Linked DNA regions of Anolis sagrei. The protein of the gene in region 1 binds, or shares a complex with, the protein of each later gene. Links are inferred from orthologs where the notes say so. Each region holds a gene or a part of one and is shown in the gene's direction. Other genes may lie near its edges. The genes, in order: PLXNA2, NRP1 and SEMA6A.

Region 1 (3,743 bases):
ACTCTTGCTTCCTCCCTGATCCCGAATTCTTTTCCCGGAGTGTGTTTCAGCGTGCAGACAGCCCCCCCCCCCCCCCGCCCCACTCTCTCTTCGCCCCTGTCCTTTCCCTTTCCCCCCACCCCAGACCCAAACGCCGCCGGATCTATTTTTAAACCCATGCCTGCCCCTTTCGTTTTCCCTCTCCATCTCAGCCAACAAGCCAAGCCCCCCCCCTCCCGATTTTTGTGATTTCTCTTGGCTCTGACGTCGCCTGGAGAGAAAAGAAAGGGAGGTGGGGTGGGTGGGGGAAAGAGAGGAAGAGACTGCAGCAAATTGGGCAAGGCCTGGGATTTGAGGTGCCGGCTGGGGAAGGGTTAACCCCCTGTGACTGTATGTTAATGAGATCCACGGTAATAGGAGGAGGCTGGCTTTGGCGGAGGCCGCCGCCGCTGCCGCTGCTGATGGGGAAAGCGAGGAGCGCAGTGCCAGCCTGGAGCCCGGCGAGGAGCGCACACCAGGCAGGCAGTCAGGCAGGCAGCGGCCCTGGCACCGCGGCTGGAGACTCAGCCCAGTGCGCCTGCCTGGCCGGGTGTGTGTGTGTGAGAGTGTGTGTGTGTGTGAAGCCGAGGGAAGGAGGGCGCGAGGCAGAGGCAGCTCCCCAGCCATGAAGCCAGCGGCGGCGTGAAGGCAAACCCAGGCGAGGCTGCCGGGAAAGCGCCGGTGCCAGGCGGCAGGCAGAGGGTGGGCAAGAGCCGGGAGAAGCAGCTGCCCATCCTCAGCTTGGAAGATCAGCCGGAACCTCTCCAGCGCCACTTTCGGAATACAGATCCGTGCCCTGCTGTGGGTTTCCATGAATCGGGACTCGGTGTGGATTACCGCTCCCTAATTCGGAAGAGGAGGAGGAGGAGGAGGAGGCGGTGGCACCAGCGTGGGGAGAAAGCTGGCTGCCCCCCAAGAGAAGCGGCGGGAGCCGGTCTGGAGAGCGGGTAAGTGGCAAAGGGTTACCCACCAGCCTGGCCCCCTTCCGCACCCGAATGCCCAGCTCAAACTGGGTGGGCGGGGAGGGAGGAGAATTGCCGCGCTCCCACCCATCTTGCTGCTTTTGCCTTCCCAACGCTCTTGGGATTTATTTATTTTTTTTGCACCCCATTTGATAGATAGCTGCCTGTGTCGTCTTTGTGGCGGGGGTGGTTGCTATGCTGTCCCCACCTGCCCTCTCCGGGCACTTCTCCTGGTGGAATTGGCTCCTCTCCTTCAACGCTGAGCTTCCATCAGCCTTTCAGAGAACCCCCCGATTAGGCTTGTCTTTCTGGAAACACGTGTCCCTTCGGAACCCCTTCTTTTAGAGGGGACAAGACTCCCCAGGGGTTCTTTGCAGCTGCAGCGAGAGGGTGAAGGATTTCCATTTTTTGGGAACCTCCCAGCCCCATTCCTCACTCAATCGGATGCTTAGCTTGTTGCTGATAGCTCTGCACATGGGGAAGGCAAGTGCATTAGAGGAAGCAAACAGGTTCCGAAGGGAGGAAGGAAGGGGGAGTTCCCACTGAGACAGCCTGGCTGGTCTTGCAGAGTCTTCAAAGGCTGATGAGACATGGCTATCAAAGCAACCTTCCTAGGCTGAAGAACATCTTTCCAGGGAGTGAATAAATCCATATTCCAAACCGGGAAACCTCAGAGGAAGGCAATGACAAGCCTGCCTTGAAAAAACCTTGCCAAGAAACCCTTAAGAGAGATCTCCATGAGCTGGAGTTGATTTGAAGGCACATGACAAACACCATGAAGTGATGCACAAAGCACCTGCCTCCCAAGGTGTGCATGTGTACACTAAATGAGCCCATCCTTTAAATTTCCTATCTGCTGCATGACAAACAGATGGGTTACTTAGCATCCTTGTTTGCCCAGTCTAATATGGGATACTGTCTTCTCCAGAGCAAGCCTTGAGTGTTTCCAAAGTTTCTGGTATGTATGGATGGTTAAGCGCTCCTACTTCAGCACACAGTGGCATTAGACAAAAACTCATGGATTGACAGGGAACAAACAGATATTATAGTGGGGTGGGGTAGGGGTGGGAGAGAGAGATATCTGTTGTGTTGAGTGAGTTTAACATGTGAGCCAAAGAAGGTACTAGACAAGGCTGCTATATGTTCATGTGTTGCACACGTGCAAGAGTGCACATACACCTGTGTTTTGTTTCCTTGCATTTCTGCAGGATTTATGTAAGTCATCAAAGAAATGGGTAAGTTTAGCAGCTCTGCCTGATTGTACTTTATGAGCTCTCATCAACTGGATGACACTGTCTGACCAAGTTCAGTAAATGACCTACTTCTCCTCTCTGGTCATGCAAATGATAGCTATATTTTATAGAGAGCAATAGCCATTCAAAAGCAGGGTGTTGATATTTTAAACAATTATTTCCTGTTATATTTCCCATAGTGAGCTCCTCAATCCTTATGTGAACCTCTGGCTCTGTAAAGGTGGGGTTATTCCTTTATTATATACATGATATGAGTAAAGGAAAACAGCTAGCTCAAGATAAAAGTTCAGTACAGAGTTTGGTTTTTGAGATATATAGCACCTGGCAAACACCTTTCTTAACTCTATGCAATGGTCACTACAAAAAGATGAAGTCATTCTATTTACGGAACTCTTTATTGCTCATGTCATTTAGATTTGTAGAGTCTTGCCCCATCCCAGCTAAACTTACAGGTAGTTTTTTTTTTTTTTTTTTTTTTGCTGTGGAAACATGTTACAGATGCTGCTTTAGAATCTGAACAGATTCCACAAAAGTGAGTCCTTTCTCCCCTCTCCTGCTGGTGATGCTTCTTTGTTAACTCTATAGTCAGCTCATCTCCTCAACTGAAGAATCTGAACTTCCTAGGCGCAAAGAAAGCAAGGAGCAAAACTCAACATCCTAAACTCCCTGAGAGCATCAAATAAATGCCATCATCTTCCTTTGGCTCTTTAAGTGTGTTCAGAAAATTTCATGCATGGGACAATATAGCTAAAGGAAACAATCTTTACAAGTGAGTGGACCACAGAGTCTTTCAAAGAGGTCTGTTTTATTCTAAGAGACACAATGCTGAAAGGAGTCGTAAAAACTGAAAAATCAATTGGGCATTTGTTTACTTTCCTCTCTTAGGAGGTTGGCATCTTCAATGCCCCATGATAATATTTAAGACTTTGGTTGACAGATGTTGGAAAGAATTCTAAGGCTGTTAGGACGCCAACATAAAACACTCTAAAGCAATGAGGAGGTGTTGTACATGTTCTGTCAGAGCTTCCCATAATATACCAGCACTCCAAGAAGAATGATGAATGTGGGTTAAAAATTATTCCAAGGCATCCATAACTAGTGCTTATGTACCATGTCTGACTGTCTTTGCCCACTTGTGCAGCTGTTCAAAAGTGGATCTTCTCAGAAGCCAGGCATGTAGTGTGTGTGTGGGGGGGGGGGGGCTTGAGGGGCATCAACCCTCCTCTGAAATTCTCAGGGTGGTCAACAAGAAGACCTTACTGGTACATTATTTAAACTGTTATGTTTATTCATATCATGATCTGCTCACCATGCTCAATATATCCCATAGGCATGGGGGTATTAGGATAATGATACAAAAGGTTTGCTAGAGTAGATCCTCCCCCCCCCCCCCCAATCAAAATCCTGGCTATGGGCCTGTCAGAAGCAATCAAAAATTATGCCAGGCTTCACTACTGACAGTGTAAATTATTACTTCCTTATTTTCAGTTGCACTGTTTCCAATGTTGCC
Region 2 (3,743 bases), on another chromosome or scaffold:
AGTATTTTGTGTGGGTCATAGTATCATAAAATCATATAATCATAGAGTTGGAAGAGACCTCCTGGGCTATCCAGTCCAACCCCGTCAAGAAGTAGGAAAATCGCATTCAAAGCACCCCCGACAGATGGCCATCCAGACTCTGCTTAAAAGCCTCCAAAGAAGGTGCCTGCACTTGGGGGCAGAGAGTTCCACTGCTGAACAGCTCTCACAGTTAGGAAGTTCGTCCTAATGTTCAGGTGGAATCACCTTTCCTGTAGTTTGAAGCCATTGTTCCCCGTCCTGGTCTCCAGGGAAGCAGAAAACAAGCTTGCTCTCTCCCTCACATATTTATATGTGCCCATCATGTCGCCTCTCAGCCTTTTCTTCTGAGAGCTGTTCAGCAGTGGAACTCTCTGCCCTGGAGTGTGATGGAGGCTTTTTCTTTGAAAGCCTTTAAACAGAGGCTGGATGGGTTGTTGTAGGTTTTTCCGGGCTATATGGCCATGTTCTGGAGGCAATTTTTCTCCTGACGTTTCGCCTGCATCTATGGCAAGCATCCTCAGAGGTAGTGAGGTCTGTTGGAAGTAGGAAAAATGGGTTTATATATCTGTGGAATGACCAGGGTGAGACAAAGGACTTTTGTCTGCTGGGGCTAGGTGTGATGCTGGATGGCCATCTGTCAGGGGTGCTTTGAATGCAATATTCCTCCTTCTTGGCAGGGGGTTGGACTGGATGGCCCATGAGGTCTCTTCCAACTCTATGATTCTATATCCAGCTCTTTAAGCCGCTCCTCAGAGGGCTTGTTCTCCAGACCCTTGATCAATTTAGTCGTCCTCCTCTGAGCACATTCCAGCTTGTCAACATCTCCTTTCCATTGTGGTGCCCAGTCATGGGAGTCCCTTGTGCCAAGTTTAGTTCAATTCCATTGTTGGTGGAGTTCAGAATGCTCTTTGATTGTAAGGGAACTACAATTCCCAAATGACAAAATCAGTCCCTCTCCAACCCTAAAAGTATTCAAATTTGGGCTATCGGGTATTTTGGTCCAGTGAATGAAAATACATCCTGCACATCGGATATTTCCATGACGATTCCTAACAGTAGCAAAATGACAGTTATGAAGTCGCAAGGAAAATAATGTGATGTTTGGGGGGTCACCACAACATGAGGAAGTGCATGAGGAAGGTCGAGACCCACTGGACTAGATGACCCTTTGGGGGAGGTCTCCTCCTGCGAGGCTGTGCGCCTGTGCTGCTGCTGCTGCTGCCGCGCCCTCCTTGCCCCCTTCCCCGGCTCTGCTTCACCTGCCTTGCCGAGACTGGGGCACTCTCCGCCAGGAAGCGTCTCCCCTCGGCGTGCCCCTTCTGCTGCTGCTCCTGTTCCTCCTCTTCTTCCCGTCCCTCCTTCCCCATGAGCCACTCCACCCCTTCTCCGACTCCCTCCTCCACGAATTGGTGGATTGGTGGGCTCGTTCTGGTTGTTTGTTGATCCTTCTTCCTTTTTCGGGTGGGAGAAGGCGGGGACTGGCGGCTCCGGAGGCGGCGGCTCCTCTCTTATTATTGGCACCGAGTTGCGCTTCTCTTCCTCAGCCTGCAAGAGAAGGAAGAGCCGCCCGGACGCTGGGCAGAGACAGAGACAGAGAGATACTTCTTGCTCCGCTTCCTCTTGGATTACAGAGCCGACAAGAAGGACATTGGGTGGCCGCTCTTCCTTCCCTTCCCTTGCAGAAGTGTGCCCAAAATCCACATTGGACTCTGTGTGGAGGAGAAGAAGGCAAAGCACCGCCCTCTCCATCAACATCTTCTTCTTCCTCCTCCTCCTTCTCAGACCATCTCTCCAAGAAGGCATCTCTTGGTGCTCCTCTTGCCTCCAAATGCCAGCTGATCGAGAGGCGAAGAGAGCATGAAGTTGGGCAAGAAGTCCTTCTTCTCATTGGCATTGCTTCTCCTTCTTCTCCTTCTTCCTCTCCACAGACAGGCAGTCGTCTCTCCCCGGTGAGACCTTCCTCCTCCTGGAGACGTTTCTCTTCGAGGCAAAGCTGTGAAGGGTTTTGTTTTCCTCCTTCTCCTCCTTCCTCCCTTCTGTTGTGACTTCCTTGCGAGCTTTTCTTTCCCACCCCTTTCCAAGCCAGCTTGGAAATGGCAAAGGCAGTGACGCCTGGAAGAGGAACAAGTGTGGGAAAAGGCAGAGGAAACTGGAGCTGAATGACAGGATGCGGGAGACTTGAGGAGATCTAGTATATCCACACGTCCTTTGCTACCAACGGGACTCTGCTTGCTGCTATTGCTCCTGAAACAGCTTGATGCATATTGCTTGTGTTTTTTGAAACTCCCTTTCCTGGAGGATTTAAGATTGCGTGCGGAAACAGGGATACTCTGTTCTCTTCCTACAATCCTCGAGGACCAAGAAAGGAAGATGGATTGGGGGCTCTTCCTGAACTATGTCGCCCTCACGGCCACCCTTGGCAGGGCTTTGAAGAGCGGTAAGTGGCCACTTTGCATGCTTTCCAGGGTGTATCCAGGTAACTGCCAGGAAAAGGGCCCTTTCCTCTTCTTTTTTTGTTGTGTCAGGAGCGACTTGAGAAACTGCAAGTCGCTTCTGGCGTGAAAGAATTGGCCGTCTGCAAGGACCTTGCCCAGGGGACGCCCGGATGTTTTGATATGTTACCATCCTTGTGGGAAGCTTCTCTCATGTCCCCGCATGGAAAGCTGGAGCTGACAGAGGGAGCTCATCCACGCTCTCGCCAGATTCGAACCTCCGACCTGTCAGTCTTCAGTCCTGCTGGCACAAGGGTTTAACCCACTGCGCGACCTAGGGCTCCCGTGAGATTATTATTATTATTATTATTAATTTCCTGCATTTGTACCCGCCCTTATCCCCCGTGGGGGACTCAGGGCGGCCTAAAGGTTCAAGTCTGCAAGGAGGCACATCACAACATCCCAGATTAGGTGCAACTTTTCTTTTTGTGTGTGTGTGTCCTGTCAGGAGCGACTTGAGAAACTACAAGTCGCTTCTGGTGTGAGAGAATTGGCCGTCTGCAAGGACGTTGCCCAGGGGATACCTGGATGCTTGATGTTTTGCCATCCTTGTGGGAGGCTTCTCTCATGTCCCCGCAGGGGGAGCTGGAGCTAATAGAGGGAGTTCATCCTTTCCTCCTTCCCAGGTAGGTTAAGAAGTCGACCAAAAAGCAGGCTTCAGACTACTCACTCAGAAACAGGACAGATACTACTTTATCACATTAGAGAATGAATCCACTTTCAATCCGGTTGCTGCCTCCCACGGAATTCTGGGGTTTGTAGTTTAAGGAGGAGCCTTTAACAGCTTCACTAAACTACAAACCCCAGAATTCTACAGGAGGCAAAAACCAGATTTAAAGTGGATTCATTCTCTAGTGTGATGTGGTCCATAAAGACTCATACACAAAGTACCCAGAGTTGCACCTAGTCTCACAGGAGCCCTAGGTCGCACAAGGGTTAAACCTTGTGCCAGCAGGACTGAAGACTGACTGGTTGGAGGTTCTAATCCAGGAAGAGTGTGGATGAGCTCCCTCTGTCAGCTCCAGCTCCCCATGCGGGGACATGGGAGAAGCCTCCCACAAGGATGGTAAAACATCAAAACATTCAAGTGTCCCCTGAGCAACACCACAGCTGATTCTCACAAGAGAAACCTCTGGCAATTCCACAAGGTGTCTCCTTTAAAACTGGACAGATGAGTAGTTTTTTTTTAAAGGAGGAGGACTCTTTTCCCCATTCTGTCATTCATTCATT
Region 3 (3,743 bases), on another chromosome or scaffold:
TTGAAACTGCACGGTCATTCGATACTAATCGGGGCAGCTTACATGACGCCAAGGAACAATACAGCAATGCAACTAAACAAGATACAACGACAATAAAAAAATTAAAAAAAATACAAGAAACAATATAAATAAGCACATGAAGGTGGCCAATTCACCCTTTCCTCCAACAGACCTTACACAGATAAATAAACCCCACTCGACTAGTTTCCAACAGACTTCACAACCTCTGAGGATGCCTGCCACTGATGCAGGCGAAACGTTAGGAGAGAATGCTTCTGGAGCATGGCCTGGAAAACTCACAAAGGATTCCCCCACGCAGGAAGCATCCAGACCTTGTAACTGCAAGGCCATTCAATGCTAGTCAAGGTGGCCAATTGCAACATTCACCCTTTCCTCCAACAGACAAGAGTTCTTTCTCCCACCCTGGACATTACACAAATATATAAACCCAATTTTCCTGGTTCCCAACAGAATTCACAAGGCTAATCAAGGTGGCCAATTGCAACATTAACCCTTTCCTCCAACACAAAAGAGTTCTTTCTCCCACCCTGGATATTCCACAGATATATAAACCCCACTTGCCTAGTTTCCAACAGACTTTACAACCTTTGAAGATGCCTGCCATAGTTGCAGGCGAAACGTCAGGAGAGAATGCTTCTGGAACATGGCCCGAAAAACTCACAAAGGATTCCCCCAGGCAGGAAGCATCCACACCTTGTAACTGCACGGTCATTCAATGCTAGTCAAGGTAGCCAATTGCAACATTCACCCTTTCCTCCAACAGACATTACACAGATATATGAACCCAATTGTCCTATTTTCCAACAGACCTCACAACCTCTGAAGATGCCGGCCACAGATGCAGGCAAAACGTCAGGAGAGAATGCTTCTGGAACATGGCCGTACATCTTGGAAAACGCATGAAAGCCACGAAAGCCTTCGACAGTACTCTAAAAACAAAAACAAAAACAAAAAAAAACCCTGAGTGAGAAGCCGATGCCATGCCCCTGCACTTCACCCCCCATAATCCTCACTAGACGGAGAGAAAGGAGGGCAGCCAATTAATCGCTCTCGCCAGTGCCTTTCTTTTTTTCCCGTGTGCGCATGCGCGTGCGGTGGTGCTGCTAATGCTGGGTGCCAGCCAAGCCTGTTTGGGAAGAGGCCAGGTCCCCCCCCCCCCTCCCCCAGTCCGCTCTGCTCTCACTTTGCCTTGCACCCCCCCCCCCCCACTCACTCTTTCCTCCTCCTCCTCCTCCTCGGAGCCCCGCCCCCCACGCGCTCCTTCAGGCGCAGCAGAGTCGAGCGCTGTCAAGAGGAAGAGTTCGCGAGCCCAGTCCGGGATCCAGCCCGGGTTTTGACTCCACCTCCTCCCGCCAAGCCAAGCTTTTCCCAGTGACAGAAAGAAGAAGAGTTGGGACGGAGGCTCCACTCACTCGCGCTGCGAAGCCAGAGGCAGGGCAGCGGGGAAAGAGAGAGAGAGAGAGAGAGAGGCAGCGAGGAAGGAAGGAAGCCGCGAGTGGGAGCCCCGCTCTCTTTCCAGCTTGGCGCTGTCCCGCCCGAGGAGGGACCCTTCCATGAGCGGCAGAGGAGGAGGAGGAGAAGCAGGAGGAGCGAGGCAGACCTCTCCGTCCCTCGGAAGGGGACTTTCAAGCCTTTGGCCCCATCCTCCTCCCTTCTTTCCTTCCTTGGAGATGAACTCAGCGCGGTCCCCAAAGGCGAGGCAAGCTTAGCCTCCTTCTCCTCCTTCTCCTTTTCCTTCTCCTTCTGGTGCCCCCACCCCGGAAAGCTCTCGGGGCGCCGCTTCACCATGACAAAGGATTGCCGAGGAGCGAGTTTGGCGGAGCCATCCCCTTAAACGGATTACTCCATGGGACGCCCCTCCATCCGCTAGTCCTGTCCTCGGAAGCGGCCGGGCACCGACGACGAGGTACGGACGGGGCCTCGCATTGCCTCCCTATCTCTCTCTTGCTCTTTGGGGTTTTTTGTCCCGGGAAGGAGGGAGGGAGGGGGCGTGGAAGGGGGAGATCCTGCTCCAAGGAGGCAGCCAAGAGAACAGCCAGGAGGAAGCAAAAGCCAAACTGAGGGGGCTTGTTGGCGGCGGCGGCGGAGCTGCCCCTTCTCCCTCTCTCTCTCTCGCGCGCGCTTCTTGCCGGGCTTCTGCGTGCCCAGAGGCGCTTGGGTTCCCTTCGGTGTGTCGGGAGACAGACCCGCGCTCCCGCCCCTCCCCGACCTTCCTTCCTTCCTTTCCCCCTTTTTCTCCAAGTCCGCTTGTTTGGAGGGAAGGAAGCGCGCCGGGATGTTCTCTCGCGCTTCCCATTGCGAGGCGAGGGGCGGCGGCTGAGGAGAGCTTTTGGGGGGGGGGGGGCAGGCTAGGTCAGAGAGACCCTGGCAATCCCAAGCAGGCCAAACACACCCGAAAAAGAGGGAGCCCTGGTAATCCCAGGCCAAACAAGACCCCAAAGGAACACCCCCAGAGCGGGCTATGTCAGAGAGAGCCTTGCAATCCCAGGCCAAACAACACCCCAGAGGAACACCCCCCAGGAACACGGGATAGCCAGGCGATGTCAGAGAGAGCTTGGCAATCCCAGGCAGGCCAAACACACCCGAGGAAGAGAGAGAGCCCTGGCCATCCCAGGCCAAACAACACCCCAGAGGAACACCCCCAGGAACACGGGATAGCCTGGCCATCCCAGGCCAAACACCCCAGGGAGTGACGCGCCTTGGCCCCTCTATATAAACACGAGGCTTCCTCGGGGGGCGAGGCTGGGCGTGGAGCCTTTGTTTCCCAGACAATGTGCGGCCGGGAAGTGGGGCAACCTGGCGGAGGAGGGGAGAGGCTCAGGCTTCGGGGCCTCTGCGCCGCCTCAGCCCGGCCAAGCCCCTCGGGGCAAGAGGGTGGGTGTGTGGGTGGGAGGGTGTCTGTGTGTCTCCCTCTCTTTCCCTCTCTCTCTCTCTCGCTCTCTCTGCCACCGCCCCTCACCGGCTTTGTTTGCCGACGCTGGGGAGGACGGAGGTTGACGCAAGCCTGGGGCGCCTCCCCTGTGTGGCCCCCCGAGGGCTGCGGGGCGGAGGGAAAGAGGGAGACAAGGAGGGAGGGGCCGGCGCTCCTTCTCCCCGCGGTCAGCGCTCCGTGAGGGGCGTTTGGGGCGCGCGCCTCACAAGACCAGGCAAGAGGGGAGTGACCCGCTCGGGTGGTCTGGTCTCGCCTCAGGCTCAGGAAAGGCCCAGTCTCCCGCCTTTCTCTCTCGACGCTAGAATTGGGTCGTCACCACCGCCGCCTCTCCCTTCTCCTCACACCCCCCCCCCCCTCCCCCGGTGTGCCTTGCTCCTGTGCATGGAGCCCCCTCGTCTCCTTTTGTCTGCAGACAAGCCCTTCTGGGCCAGGGAAAGGGGAGAGGAGAGAGGAGGGAGAGAGGTTGTGGACGCTTCTCTGAGGAGGGGAAGGAAGGGGAGAGTGAGCGAGGACCCCACTGGAAGGAGGTGTGGCTGAAGGTTGTGTGTTCCCAGCTTCCCATTGAGTAGAGCATGGAAGCGCAGGAGTAGGAGACGCTGTCTTCAGGTAACAATTGGATTGAGAGGGGGCGTCTCTCGGCAAGGAGACCCAGTAAAGAAGCGAGGTATTAGATCAGGCATGCTCAAGCTCCATGGGCAAACCCTCCAAGTGTTTTGGACTTCAACTCCCATCATCCCTAACAGCCGGTAGGACTGCATTAATTCTGCATTTAATGCCAAACTCCATTAAT

Evidence for each region.
Region 2: the proteins of PLXNA2 (region 1) and NRP1 are in contact, whole or in part, in a crystal structure (PDB 4GZA), measured with the Mus musculus proteins. The link is inferred for Anolis sagrei from reciprocal best matches to the Homo sapiens genes PLXNA2 and NRP1. Residues at the interface, in NP_032908.2 of Mus musculus: Asp273, Leu274, Phe275, Glu306, Lys341, Gly342, Gln343, Lys344, Gln345, His348, Pro350; in NP_032763.2 of Mus musculus: Glu78, Arg80, Asp81, Lys83, Tyr84, Asp126, Tyr127, Glu128, Thr129.
Region 3: the proteins of PLXNA2 (region 1) and SEMA6A are in contact, whole or in part, in a crystal structure (PDB 3AL8), measured with the Mus musculus proteins. The link is inferred for Anolis sagrei from reciprocal best matches to the Homo sapiens genes PLXNA2 and SEMA6A. Residues at the interface, in NP_032908.2 of Mus musculus: Ala93, Cys94, Tyr95, Pro96, Lys155, Gln192, Asp193, Tyr194, Asp220, Phe221, Val222, Pro229, Ser230, Asp231, Leu386, Lys389, Val391, Thr394, Lys395, Ala396, Pro397, Val398, Leu407, Asp408, Ile409, Asn410, Gln411; in NP_061214.2 of Mus musculus: Arg108, Met109, Lys110, Gly111, Met162, Ala163, Thr188, Phe190, Leu191, Ile193, Tyr198, Thr206, Arg208, His212, Asp213, Ser214, Glu219, Gln266, Arg267, Glu270, Lys271, Lys393.

Annotation. Positions count from the first base shown.
Region 1 is NC_090024.1:197,421,543-197,425,285, reverse strand, and holds the start of PLXNA2 (plexin-A2), read left to right. Parts: upstream 1-866; 5' UTR 867-965; intron 966-3,743. UniProt on the Homo sapiens protein: Coreceptor for SEMA3A and SEMA6A. Necessary for signaling by SEMA6A and class 3 semaphorins and subsequent remodeling of the cytoskeleton. Plays a role in axon guidance, invasive growth and cell migration.
Region 2 is NC_090026.1:112,929,887-112,933,629, reverse strand, and holds the start of NRP1 (neuropilin-1), read left to right. Parts: upstream 1-1,422; 5' UTR 1,423-2,391; coding exon 2,392-2,458; intron 2,459-3,743. UniProt on the Homo sapiens protein: Cell-surface receptor involved in the development of the cardiovascular system, in angiogenesis, in the formation of certain neuronal circuits and in organogenesis outside the nervous system. Mediates the chemorepulsant activity of semaphorins.
Region 3 is NC_090022.1:243,126,624-243,130,366, forward strand, and holds the start of SEMA6A (semaphorin-6A), read left to right. Parts: upstream 1-1,282; 5' UTR 1,283-1,927; intron 1,928-3,367; exon of another isoform or gene 3,368-3,559; intron 3,560-3,743. UniProt on the Homo sapiens protein: Cell surface receptor for PLXNA2 that plays an important role in cell-cell signaling. Required for normal granule cell migration in the developing cerebellum.